3 linked regions of the Zea mays genome follow. Each later gene encodes a partner of the first gene's protein in a complex. Links are inferred from orthologs where the notes say so. Each region holds a gene or a part of one and is shown in the gene's direction. Other genes may lie near its edges.

Evidence for each region.
Region 2: Mediator of RNA polymerase II transcription subunit 23 (region 1) and uncharacterized protein LOC100216950 share a complex: the UniProt entries of both Arabidopsis thaliana proteins name them as parts of the mediator complex. The link is inferred for Zea mays from reciprocal best matches to the Arabidopsis thaliana genes AT1G23230 and SFR6.
Region 3: Mediator of RNA polymerase II transcription subunit 23 (region 1) and mediator of RNA polymerase II transcription subunit 25 share a complex: the UniProt entries of both Arabidopsis thaliana proteins name them as parts of the mediator complex. The link is inferred for Zea mays from reciprocal best matches to the Arabidopsis thaliana genes AT1G23230 and PFT1.

What each region holds. Positions count from the first base shown.
Region 1 is NC_050100.1:213,163,236-213,166,326, reverse strand, and holds part of Mediator of RNA polymerase II transcription subunit 23, read left to right. Parts: intron 1-390; coding exon 391-634; intron 635-703; coding exon 704-1,457; intron 1,458-1,914; coding exon 1,915-2,096; intron 2,097-3,091. UniProt on the Arabidopsis thaliana protein: Component of the Mediator complex, a coactivator involved in the regulated transcription of nearly all RNA polymerase II-dependent genes.
Region 2 is NC_050096.1:232,623,647-232,627,403, reverse strand, and holds the start of uncharacterized protein LOC100216950, read left to right. Parts: upstream 1-838; coding exon 839-874; intron 875-1,231; coding exon 1,232-1,406; intron 1,407-1,563; coding exon 1,564-2,087; intron 2,088-2,599; coding exon 2,600-2,776; intron 2,777-3,123; coding exon 3,124-3,504; intron 3,505-3,640; coding exon 3,641-3,757. UniProt on the Arabidopsis thaliana protein: Component of the Mediator complex, a coactivator involved in the regulated transcription of nearly all RNA polymerase II-dependent genes.
Region 3 is NC_050097.1:178,597,695-178,601,351, reverse strand, and holds part of mediator of RNA polymerase II transcription subunit 25, read left to right. Parts: intron 1-1,204; coding exon 1,205-1,235; intron 1,236-1,335; coding exon 1,336-1,399; intron 1,400-1,487; coding exon 1,488-1,618; intron 1,619-3,657. UniProt on the Arabidopsis thaliana protein: Component of the Mediator complex, a coactivator involved in the regulated transcription of nearly all RNA polymerase II-dependent genes.

The sequences.
Region 1 (3,091 bases):
TTTGATATTTGTGTTACATGGCACCCATATAATAAACAGTTTCCATTAAAAAAAGCTGTGTTCTTTTGAATAGCAATTTAATCTATTTATGGCATAGTTAGATTAATTTGGTTGTCTGATCAATTTGATATTTTGGATGTTCTGGTCATGTTTTTGGCCAATATGGTTTCATATTAGGATTATTTTATCTGTGGTCAGTGCTTGTTTGTCCATTTATACCCAGCTTTAAACTAATTATTGTAATATATGCTGCACCTATTCCAAAACTATAAAGCTACTATTGGCTGTCAACTTACCAAACAGAAAGTGAGGTTTTCTTCTGAGATACATATTGTTTTGTTTTCAATGGTGGTAATAGAATCTTGATGTCCTCTAGTTTTGTTGATGCAGCTATCCACCCTTCTTCGATGACATTGCTGCACGTCTGCTTCCTGTTATTCCACTGATTATTTATAGGCTTATTGAGAATGATGCAACTGACATTGCAGACAGAGTTCTTGCATTCTATTCTTCCTTGCTTGCCTTCCACCCGCTAAGATTTACATTTGTACGTGATATTCTTGCGTATTTCTATGGTCATCTTCCAATCAAACTAATTGGTAGGATCCTCAACCTGCTGGGTGTTAGCACTAAGGTAAACCTATTTACTTTTTTAGTTGTAACACTTTGTGCCTAACACTTGCTAACTATGAGCTTTTTCCAGACCCCCTTTTCAGAATCTTTTGCTAAATATTTAGTGTCATCAAATTCTTCAATATGTCCACCACCAGAATACTTTGCCAACCTGTTGCTAAACCTCGTTAATAATGTTATACCTCCTTTAAGTAGCAAATCGAAATCAAACCCAGCAGACACAACACGCTCGACTTTCAACAAACATCATGCATCTTCACAACCTGGTGGAGTTGGTAACACCGATGGCCAGAGGGCATTTTATCAGAATCAGGATCCTGGGTCGTATACACAGCTTGTTTTGGAAACAGCAGCTATTGAGATTCTCTCACTTCCTGTGCCTGCTGCTCAAATAGTGTCCTCTTTGGTCCAAATAATAGCACATGTACAAGCAATACTTATACAGTCAAATAGTGGCCAAGGAATGTCAGGTGGTTTGGGGCAAAGTTCTGGGCTGCCAACTTCTCCTTCAGGGGCTGCTGAATCCTCAGGTCCCAACCAAGCGAACAGTGCTGCAACTGGCATCAATGCCACTAACTTTGTTTCTAGGAGTGGTTACTCCTGCCAACAATTGTCTGTTTTGATGATTCAAGCATGTGGTCTTCTGCTGGCACAACTCCCACCAGAATTCCACATGCAACTATACTCAGAAGCAGCTCGAGTCATAAAAGACTGCTGGTGGCTTGCTGATGGTTCCAGGCCTGTTAAAGAGCTTGACTCTGCTGTTGGATATGCACTGTTGGATCCTACATGGGCTTCCCAAGACAATACATCAACAGCCATTGGTAGAACATTTTTCTTTAGTCTTATGAGCTGGATCAGATCAGAGTTAACTTAATGGAAAATTATATTGCGTCCTTGTTAGCTAAAATACCATATTGCAATGTTTCAAAATAATCACAAAAATCATGTATGTAGTAGACCTAAAGTTAAGTGTAGCCGCAATAAATCAGTTTGAAATTCATCTTTGATGTTGAGATTAAAAAAATAGAAGTGTCACTATCAACACATGGTGAACAGTGTCAGGTTGACTGCTTGTCTATTTTATTTCTTGGCATCTAGGATGAATTTCAAACTGAATTGTTGTGGCTATACTTTATGTGTATTACATACATGATTTTTATGTTGACTTTTGGAACATTGCAGTTTGGTGTTTTAGCTATCAATGGCGCAAAATCTGCACTCTAACTTAATATGCTAGTGCCTCAATTATGTCTTATGTCGTTTGTGCTTTGGTTGCAGGTAACATTGTTGCCCTTCTGCATTCCTTTTTTAGCAATCTTCCACAAGAGTGGCTGGAATCTACTCATACTGTCATCAAACACCTTCGGCCAGTCAATTCAGTTGCCATGTTAAGAATCGCCTTCCGCATATTGGGTCCCTTGTTACCTCGTCTAGCCTTTGCTCGACCTTTGTTCATGAAGGTATATACTCGGTTTTCTCTTTGCAGTTACTCCAAAATTAGAAATATGTGGTATATTTTTCCTTTAAATTAAATGCTCAACCAACCTTGAAGGAACAAGGTGTTTTTAATTTAATAATTAAAGAATATGCACCGAAATTTGCCTTGATGAGGACTTGAACTTGTGTGGCCCAGAGCCCCAGAGATACATCCACTGTCCTTGACTATCTGAGCTAGTCTCAGTTTTACTTTAGATTTACGTTATGAGCTTGTAAGTGGTCTAAATTTAAAGTCAACAGCTTTGTATGGCAAGGTGTTAGTCACTTCGAATTGGATCAGCATATGCTGTACCTGCAATGCAACCTCAATAACTGCTGCAAGTTTATGTTCATCATTTAGCATCATTCCAGCATTTTTTGTCAGAATTTACATATATTTTCCAGGGTGTCATTCAAGTCCCAAACTCCGAAAATGCATTTTTAAGTCCTCAAGCCTGTCTTTGTGTGACGTCGAGGTCCCAGTTTTTTAAAATGTTATTTTTAGGTTCAGAGGCTTGTCTCGGCTTGTTATCTTGGTCCCTAAACTTAGTGTGCCACTTAGGTCCAAATAGACCCTATCTACTCCACCTCACAACACCACATGTCACAACAGTTGGATCCATACCTCATTCTTGACCGGCTGCTTATTGGCAAAGCATGCTAGGGATAGACACAGGTTTTGGGACAAGATTTTATATTTCATTTAAGCCATTACGCAAAAACATAGCAGGTTTAGGTATATATAGAAGTAGCGAAGCAAACTTGAAAACTAAGAGATTTCAGCATATGCAGATATATATGCTAAAGTAGATGCTATTATGCTAATGTAGGTGCTAAAGGGAGCTAAGAATGTAAGGTGCTGACATATGCACCTACTCTTAAGATAAATACAAGATTTAGTCTATCAAAGCAATCGTTTGCCTACCTCTTCTGCTTAAGGAGCACTAACTCTGCCACTACTACTGATGATGTCATGGCC
Region 2 (3,757 bases), on another chromosome or scaffold:
TGCAGGTGTGTCGGCCATGCACGCTGGTCCGTGGCCGTGTCCTGCGTGGCGGCGTGGGTGCACAGTGCGCTGCCCGTCAGGCTTTGTGATGCGGCACTGGCACTACTGCAGTGTTATGGCACGGATGGGGGCCAGGCGCGCGTGTGTGCGGCACTACTGTTTGGTGCTGGTGTGCTGTGGCGACATGGCTGCGTGGACGAGATCGGGTGCGGGTGCTAGATGCCACGGTTAGATGGAAGGCTGTTACCTATTTTTGTTGGATTTTATGGACTAAAATTATGATATGATATAAGTATTATTGGACCGGGGCCGCCCCTGGCCACAAGTATGTGTAAATTGTACATTTTAATGGGCATTTACAACAGTGGCATTTTTTTATTTTAACCGCAAAATGATGCTAGAAACTTTTCCAGTGGCTGTTTGCCTTTGGGTTGAAAATCATTGGCATCTCAGCAGGTGTCTCTAAATTAATTGACTGGCTGGACAGCTGATTCATATGATATTTTGGGTTGTGATGAGTTAATATGACAGTTGGAATTTTGGGTGATATTTCATATTTTATACCTTTTTGGCTTCAATGTTTGATTTACTACCTTTCTTCCTTTTATGATTAATGAATGTACAATTGTACATGCAGAACCTTGATAGGATTAAGTGTAGGTTGTTGGAAGGAACAAATGCCCAAGATGTACGGGCACTTGTGTTGGACATGCAAGCAAGATTACTTCTGGATATGCTAGGCAAAGGAATCGAGTCTGCCCTTACAAATCCATCAACTCTGCTACCTGAGCCCTGGCAAGCTTCCAGTGATATGTTATCCAGCATCGATGCTGACAAAATGACTGTTGAGCCAGCTCTGCTTCCAAACATCCAGGTCAAGCTGTCTCCTTTATGCAAGTTGTTTCTATTTCATAGCCATGGAACTTAAATTCAGCTATCTAACATTCTTTCTTTCTTTTTACTGACTTTATTCTTTTAAGACTTGCTACTGAGCCGTTTTTTTTCATTTTATAAAGTAGTGAGCAGTATATTGGTATGCTAGATCACTTCCATGTAAACGGTACTTTAGTTATGTTGGTGAACTCATGTGCAATGTCTGTTATCCTTTGCCAAAACTGGTGTATTACAGCCTTTTAATGTTGAGTATTGTATAAATTTCAGCACAGGTTATCTGCATAGGGATTCTTTATGTTACTAGGAAATAGCTTATTTTATTTGCATTCAAATGCAGGGTTACGTTGATGCTGTTCTTGATTTAGCATCACATTTCATAACTCGCTTGCGGCGTTATGCGAGTTTCTGTCGAACTCTGGCGAGCCATGTGGGGCCATCTTCTACCACAGGCACTTCTAGAAATATGGTTACAAGTCCAACAAACAGTTCTCCTTCGCCATCAAATAATCAAGGTTAGCTATGCCTGCTAGCTTGCTAAATCTTGTGTTTTTCTCTTGTTTGTGCGCAAAAAAGTACATCCAAACCTTATGTTTTCTTCATTGCAAATTTGAGGCTTAAAGTGTTGTTTATTTAGTGCTGCTAGCATCTTGATGCTCCTTCAAATTTCAGGTAATCAAGGGGGATCAACATCTGCAACAGGGAACTCACAAATGCAGGAGTGGGTCCAAGGTGCAATTGCTAAGATTAGTAACAATTCTGATGGTGCTGCCACTGCAACACAGAATCCAATGAGCACGAGGACATCATTTATGCCCATCAGCATTAATACGGGCACTTTCCCTGGCACACCTGCTGTGAGACTTATTGGGGATTGCCATTTTCTTCATAGATTATGTCAATTACTGCTATTTTGTCTGCTTTTCCGAAGAAGGCAATCACCAAGGTTACTTGCCAGTTCGCAAAAAAATCAAGATTCTGCCATGCAGAAAATACAACACATGATGAATGCTAAGACAGAAGATAACAGTTCGACAGTAAGATCTGGTCTAGGGGCTGCCAAAGTAGAAGAAGGTCACTCTGCGCGTGGTGGACAATTTGTTCTTGGTGGTGCAAAGGGTCCTGAAGAAAATCCAATTGGCAAATCTGTTAGAATAGGTTCTGGCAACGCTGGGCAAGGTTATACTTCAGATGAGGTGATTATCAAATTCTTGACAAGATATAGTATTTTTTACAGAGTTTAATATTGAGTTATACTAAGGAAACTTTGGGAGTTAGTGCTACCAAACTGGGACTGATCGTTGGCATTTGAACTTTGGGAGTTAGTGTGAAGAAGCTGACGATGTGCCAAATGCGCTGGAAAACTGGTGACCTGAAGTCCTGAACATAGTGATTAGTTTGGAAACAACTATGTTTTGGCTCCTGCATTTCTTTGGAAATGTCTAGCTTTGGTTGCTATGGGAGAACACATGTCGATATAGCCATCATAGAGTGCAATTGCGTATGTAGGTTATTTTGGACCCTTGATTTAAGCAGTTTAAAATTTTGTCCAGCCTAGCATGAACAACAGTTTGATTGCATATGTCGTTCATGATCTCTATTGAGTGATTTATCAGATGCTTTACAGATCTGTCTTTCTATTCTTTGGAAGATTTCTTTTTGTCTAGTTTATCTAATTATCTCTGTAATTTTATTTCATTGTTGGTAGGTCAAGGTCCTTTTTCTTATACTGGTTGACCTATGTCGAAGGACATCTACCTTGCCGCATCCATTGCCTGCCTCTCAGGTTGGTTCCAGTAGCATTATCATAAGGCTGCACTACATTGACGGCAACTACACAGTGCTCCCTGAGGTAGTGGAAGCGTCTCTTGGTCCCCATATGCAGGTACTAGTCAAATTCTCATGGAAGTTTCTAATGGTCGCTTTCGTACTATTTGTGGCCATTTTGAGCTACCAACATCTATCAATTATAGGAGTAGAAGTTGATTTTCAAGTGCACGACTCAGAGATATTGCAAGTCTTCCTGTTTCGAACTGAATTCAGGACGACCACCTTTAAATGTTGATTAGGATTCTCTTAGCAGAAGTTATCTTTTTTGTATTAGCCATTTTTTATAGAAACATGCACTATTACTGCCAGGGCCTTAGACATGGCATTTTGAGTGATCCCTCGATGCCTACTTCCCCATCTATTTTCAATATTTCATTGTTTCCTATGTCTGTAACTCTGTAGAATATGCCTCGTCCACGAGGAGCTGATGCTGCTGGACTTCTACTTCGAGAATTAGAACTGCAACCTCCTGCGGAAGAATGGCATAGACGCAACATGTTTGGTGGACCCTGGTCAGAACCAGATGATTTTGGTCCATTGGACAATATGCCTCGTCTAAAAATTAGTGGTTCCATCAACTCTCATTTGTCTGACATGGAAGTGGATGCTGTCAGTTCCATTGGGATTGATCTTTGGCCAAGAAAGCGTAGGTTATCTGAAAGAGATGCTGCATTTGGTCTGAAAACATCTGTAGGTCTTGGAGGTTATCTAGGTGTCATGGGATCTCGAAGAGATGTTGTCACGGCTGTGTGGAGAACAGGTCTCGATGGTGATTGGTACAAGGTGAGTATGGTTATGGTCGCTTTACCTTTTGCTGTCAAGTCTGGGTTCATAGTTCCTTGACGAGTTCTTTATTAGAGAATCCTGGTTACTCCCCTAATATACTTCGATGCCTAAATTTGTTGTTTCTTCTTTCTAGTGCATACGTTGTTTGCGGCAAACTTGTGCATTTGCGCATCCTGGTGCCCCAAATCAGACAAATGAACGTGAGGCTTGGTGGATCAGTCGGTGGAGCCATGCTTGCCCAATGTGTGGG
Region 3 (3,657 bases), on another chromosome or scaffold:
CCCACTGATTTGGTCAACTGCGGCACCCGAATCAATCTCTGGAGAAAGGATGGGCGCATGAGATGCTTCGGAAACAAGACCCACAGGGATCGAGGGCACAAGATTAAAGAACTTCAATAACGAAGAGATCGCAATTAAGGACTAGGTAGCTATCACAGGGCCATCTGGAAGAGGGAAACCCAAGGTGGCAGGAACTGAAGCGTTCTCTTGAGACATTTGAATTGAAGACCCTGTTGAAGGCGCTGTCAGCTCGGGAACGAGGCACAAGCCGCTAGGACTGAGTATTACCGGTCTATGGTCCTAAGGAGCTGTCAGGAGTAAGTATTGCCGATCTAGGAGTGGACGGGGTGTTACACCCGATCACCTTCACAGGCCTGCTCGACACCTATGGAAGAACTGGCACTTGATCATCCTAACGACCCAATCGTGTTGCAAACTGAGGCCGCCACAGGGAGGGAAGGTCGGACGATAGGCCACCACACTAGGGATCGCTGGACTGGACGACGCCTCCCATCGGTGCGGGCACACGTAAATACGGTGCCCAGGAAGCCGACAGTGGAAGCACCTCACTGGGCGACGACACACATCAACACGATGGGATGGGGACAAGCAATTGAAACACTTCCCACGCAAGTTGATAGGCTATGCTCTGGGAGGAGTTGAAAAGAGGGGGCGTTGGCGAAGAGATCGTCAACCCACAACCTTCATCATCCTTCGCAACAGGAGGACCGGAGGAGACAAGCACCTCTTGAACGTGCGGCGAGGTTGGAGAGGAGAAGGAACAAGATCCACGTCGTCACACCAGCGTTGAGCTTTAGAGCGGCCAACAGGACGAGGGGCCAGAGAGGAAGAGGGAGAAGGGGAGATCCCCGACGCAGGGTAGAGGTTGGCTGTGGCCGCCGGACTTGGGGTAAGTACTGACGTGAGGCTGTTGGAGGTAGGGGCGCTAGGGGGGAGGGGAGGAAAGGCTTAGGCGTGTCATGCCACAACAATCCTCAACGATGTACAATAATCTAAATATATTTGTAAATTTGTTTGTTTTTAAAGAAAATCGTCTGATTAGCATGCTAGCAATCTTGGTCAATGGTTTGAACTCCAGTTCCAATACCACTTTCGTAATTCATTTTTCACGCGATTGTGCTATGCAAATGCATCATTTTAATTTTTGGTAACTGATTCATGGTGAAAATTAAAACTTGTGCAGGAGCTTTTGTGCAAGTGAACTGCCAGGCCAGGTAATTCTGTCCTAATGATCCATTTAGTATCTGAGCTCTCAGTTTGCACATGATATTCCACTAATTGTGTCAATGCATAACCCGAACTTCCTTTTTGCAGAAGCTTGTGGGTACTCCGCCTGAACTTGCATTAGTTGTTTTTCATACCCATGGACCTTACAGTGGTATGCGTTTATATTGTTCATGTCCATGACCATATCAGTTCTTATGAACTCTACGAAATAGGTAATTTGTGAACATTTTGCAATTCAGCTTTTGATGTGCAGCGAAGTGGATGGACAAAAGATGTCGATGCTTTCCTATCATGGTTATCTGGAATATTGTTCAGTGGTGGAGGATTCAGTGAAGCTTCTACTTGTGAAGGTCTTGCTGAAGCATTGAAGGTATTAACAAGTTAATGTTGTTTGGATTTTTTTTTTCAGATGATGAGTTCTTCGTGGCCAAAAGTTACCAGTTAAAAGATTTTGTTTCACCTTTCAAGATCTCAACATTTTTCATATTTTGAATTTTGTTGTTGTGAGAGCATGATGTCGACATCGTGCTTTGTTTTGCCATTTTTCCTACTATCGTCTATTCCATTGGTTTGTTTTGTTGTTAACCAGTTCTCTATGTAAAAAGTTGTTTTATAGTTCGACCCGGTAGCAAACATCTATTTGTATCTATACTTGCATTTGAAAATACACCCCATATTTTCTTATATTGTTGTTTAATTACTTTTCATAGCTGGTAAATTACTCTGCACGTACATGATAATTGTTCCAATATATGCCACAATGTGATTTGCCAAGCTATGGTTTGACTGACAAAATGTGAACATTTTGTTCGCATCATTTTGAATTCTGGCCAGTTAGTAAAACACCTTGATCAAAAGCTCTGCCTTTCTTTGTCCCATAATCTATAGAGTATGCATAAGTAATCATCACTTATTATCATTTACCAATAACCTATTGGTAGGATTGCCCCCACTACGGAGGTTGTATGAATGGCTAATGGTTGGAGGGTTGGAGGAAGAAGGGTGAGAGGACGTCGTGCTGATGCCTGGCCTAGGGTTCAGGCGCAGCAATGGATTTGATGGGTGGTGGTGGGAGGTGGCCATCGGCCGCTGTCATGGCCGGTGGGTGTCCGCCATATCCAGGCATGCCGTGGGGCAGTCTGGTGGCGGTGCCATGGCCGATGTTCCTAGGGTGGATTCAACCACGGCAATGCGGGAGGACATGGAGGCCATCTGCGTGGCGAAGAGCCCCAGTTGGCGCTGGACTTCGGCAAGGGCGGTGGTGATCGCTGCCAACTCCGACGGCTGGAGGGCGACGGAAGCTGCAGTCTCAGCTTCATCAGATCCTGGCATATCTGATACCAGGTTGGTAGGATTGCCCCGGCTACGGAGGTTGTATGAGTGGCTAATGGTTGGAGGAAGAAGGGTGAGAGGATGCCGTGCTGACGCCTGGCCTAGGGTTCAGGTGCAACAATGGATTTGAGAACAGCAGGGAGGCAAGACTCAATCTCTTTCTTTGATTGATCTTTCCTGATTACAGACTAGAGGCATAGAGGGCTTATATACTGCCCGACCTAACAAGACTTCCTCCTTTTAAGGGGATCTAAACAAACTACCTTTATTTAAGGAAAATCTAAACAACTCTAGCTATCTTATCTGAGTACTTATCTGCTCAGCCTAGCTTATCTTCCCCTGGCTGCTTAGGTCGGCGCCCATATACTTTTCCAGTCATAACACCTATGTAAATTGCTAATTTCCCAGATAATAAGGATGCAATGAAATATAAGTATGATAATGATGGTCTGCGTGTTAGTTTCCTTGCATCATTTTTGGGCATCAGTCCATTTTGCTCACGATGGTGAAGCTTACACGTTAGAAAAAACTTGAAAAAACTTTGGTGATATGGTGTTCATCTTTCTTTTCTTTGAACATTAAACTATTGGCTATTTCACTTAGGCCCCGTTTGTTTCCTTTCATTTTGAGGAATTGGAATCTAACTAATGGAGTAGGCTATAAATTTACATGTTAGAAAAAGTTGAAAAAACTTTGGTGATATGGTGTTCATCTTTCTTTTCTTTGAACATTAAACAATTGGCTATTTCACTTAGGCCCCGTTTGTTTCCTTTCATTTTGAGGAATTGGAATCTAAATAATGGAGTATGCTATTTTTTAAGAACGTGACATTTCACAACTCTTCAAAGTTTATATATAAGCCTATCTCAAATTCATGGGGTGAGAGATAGAAATTAATTCTATAGATTTAAATGCTACTTTTCTAATGTACTGCTTATAGCACACTCTTCTACTTGCTTCTCTATAGCATAAGTATCTATAACTATCTCTCTCATATGATTTAGGATAATATATAAATATATTACATATACAAATATATTAACTTAATTAGTTTGTGTCTAAATTATGATTATTAGA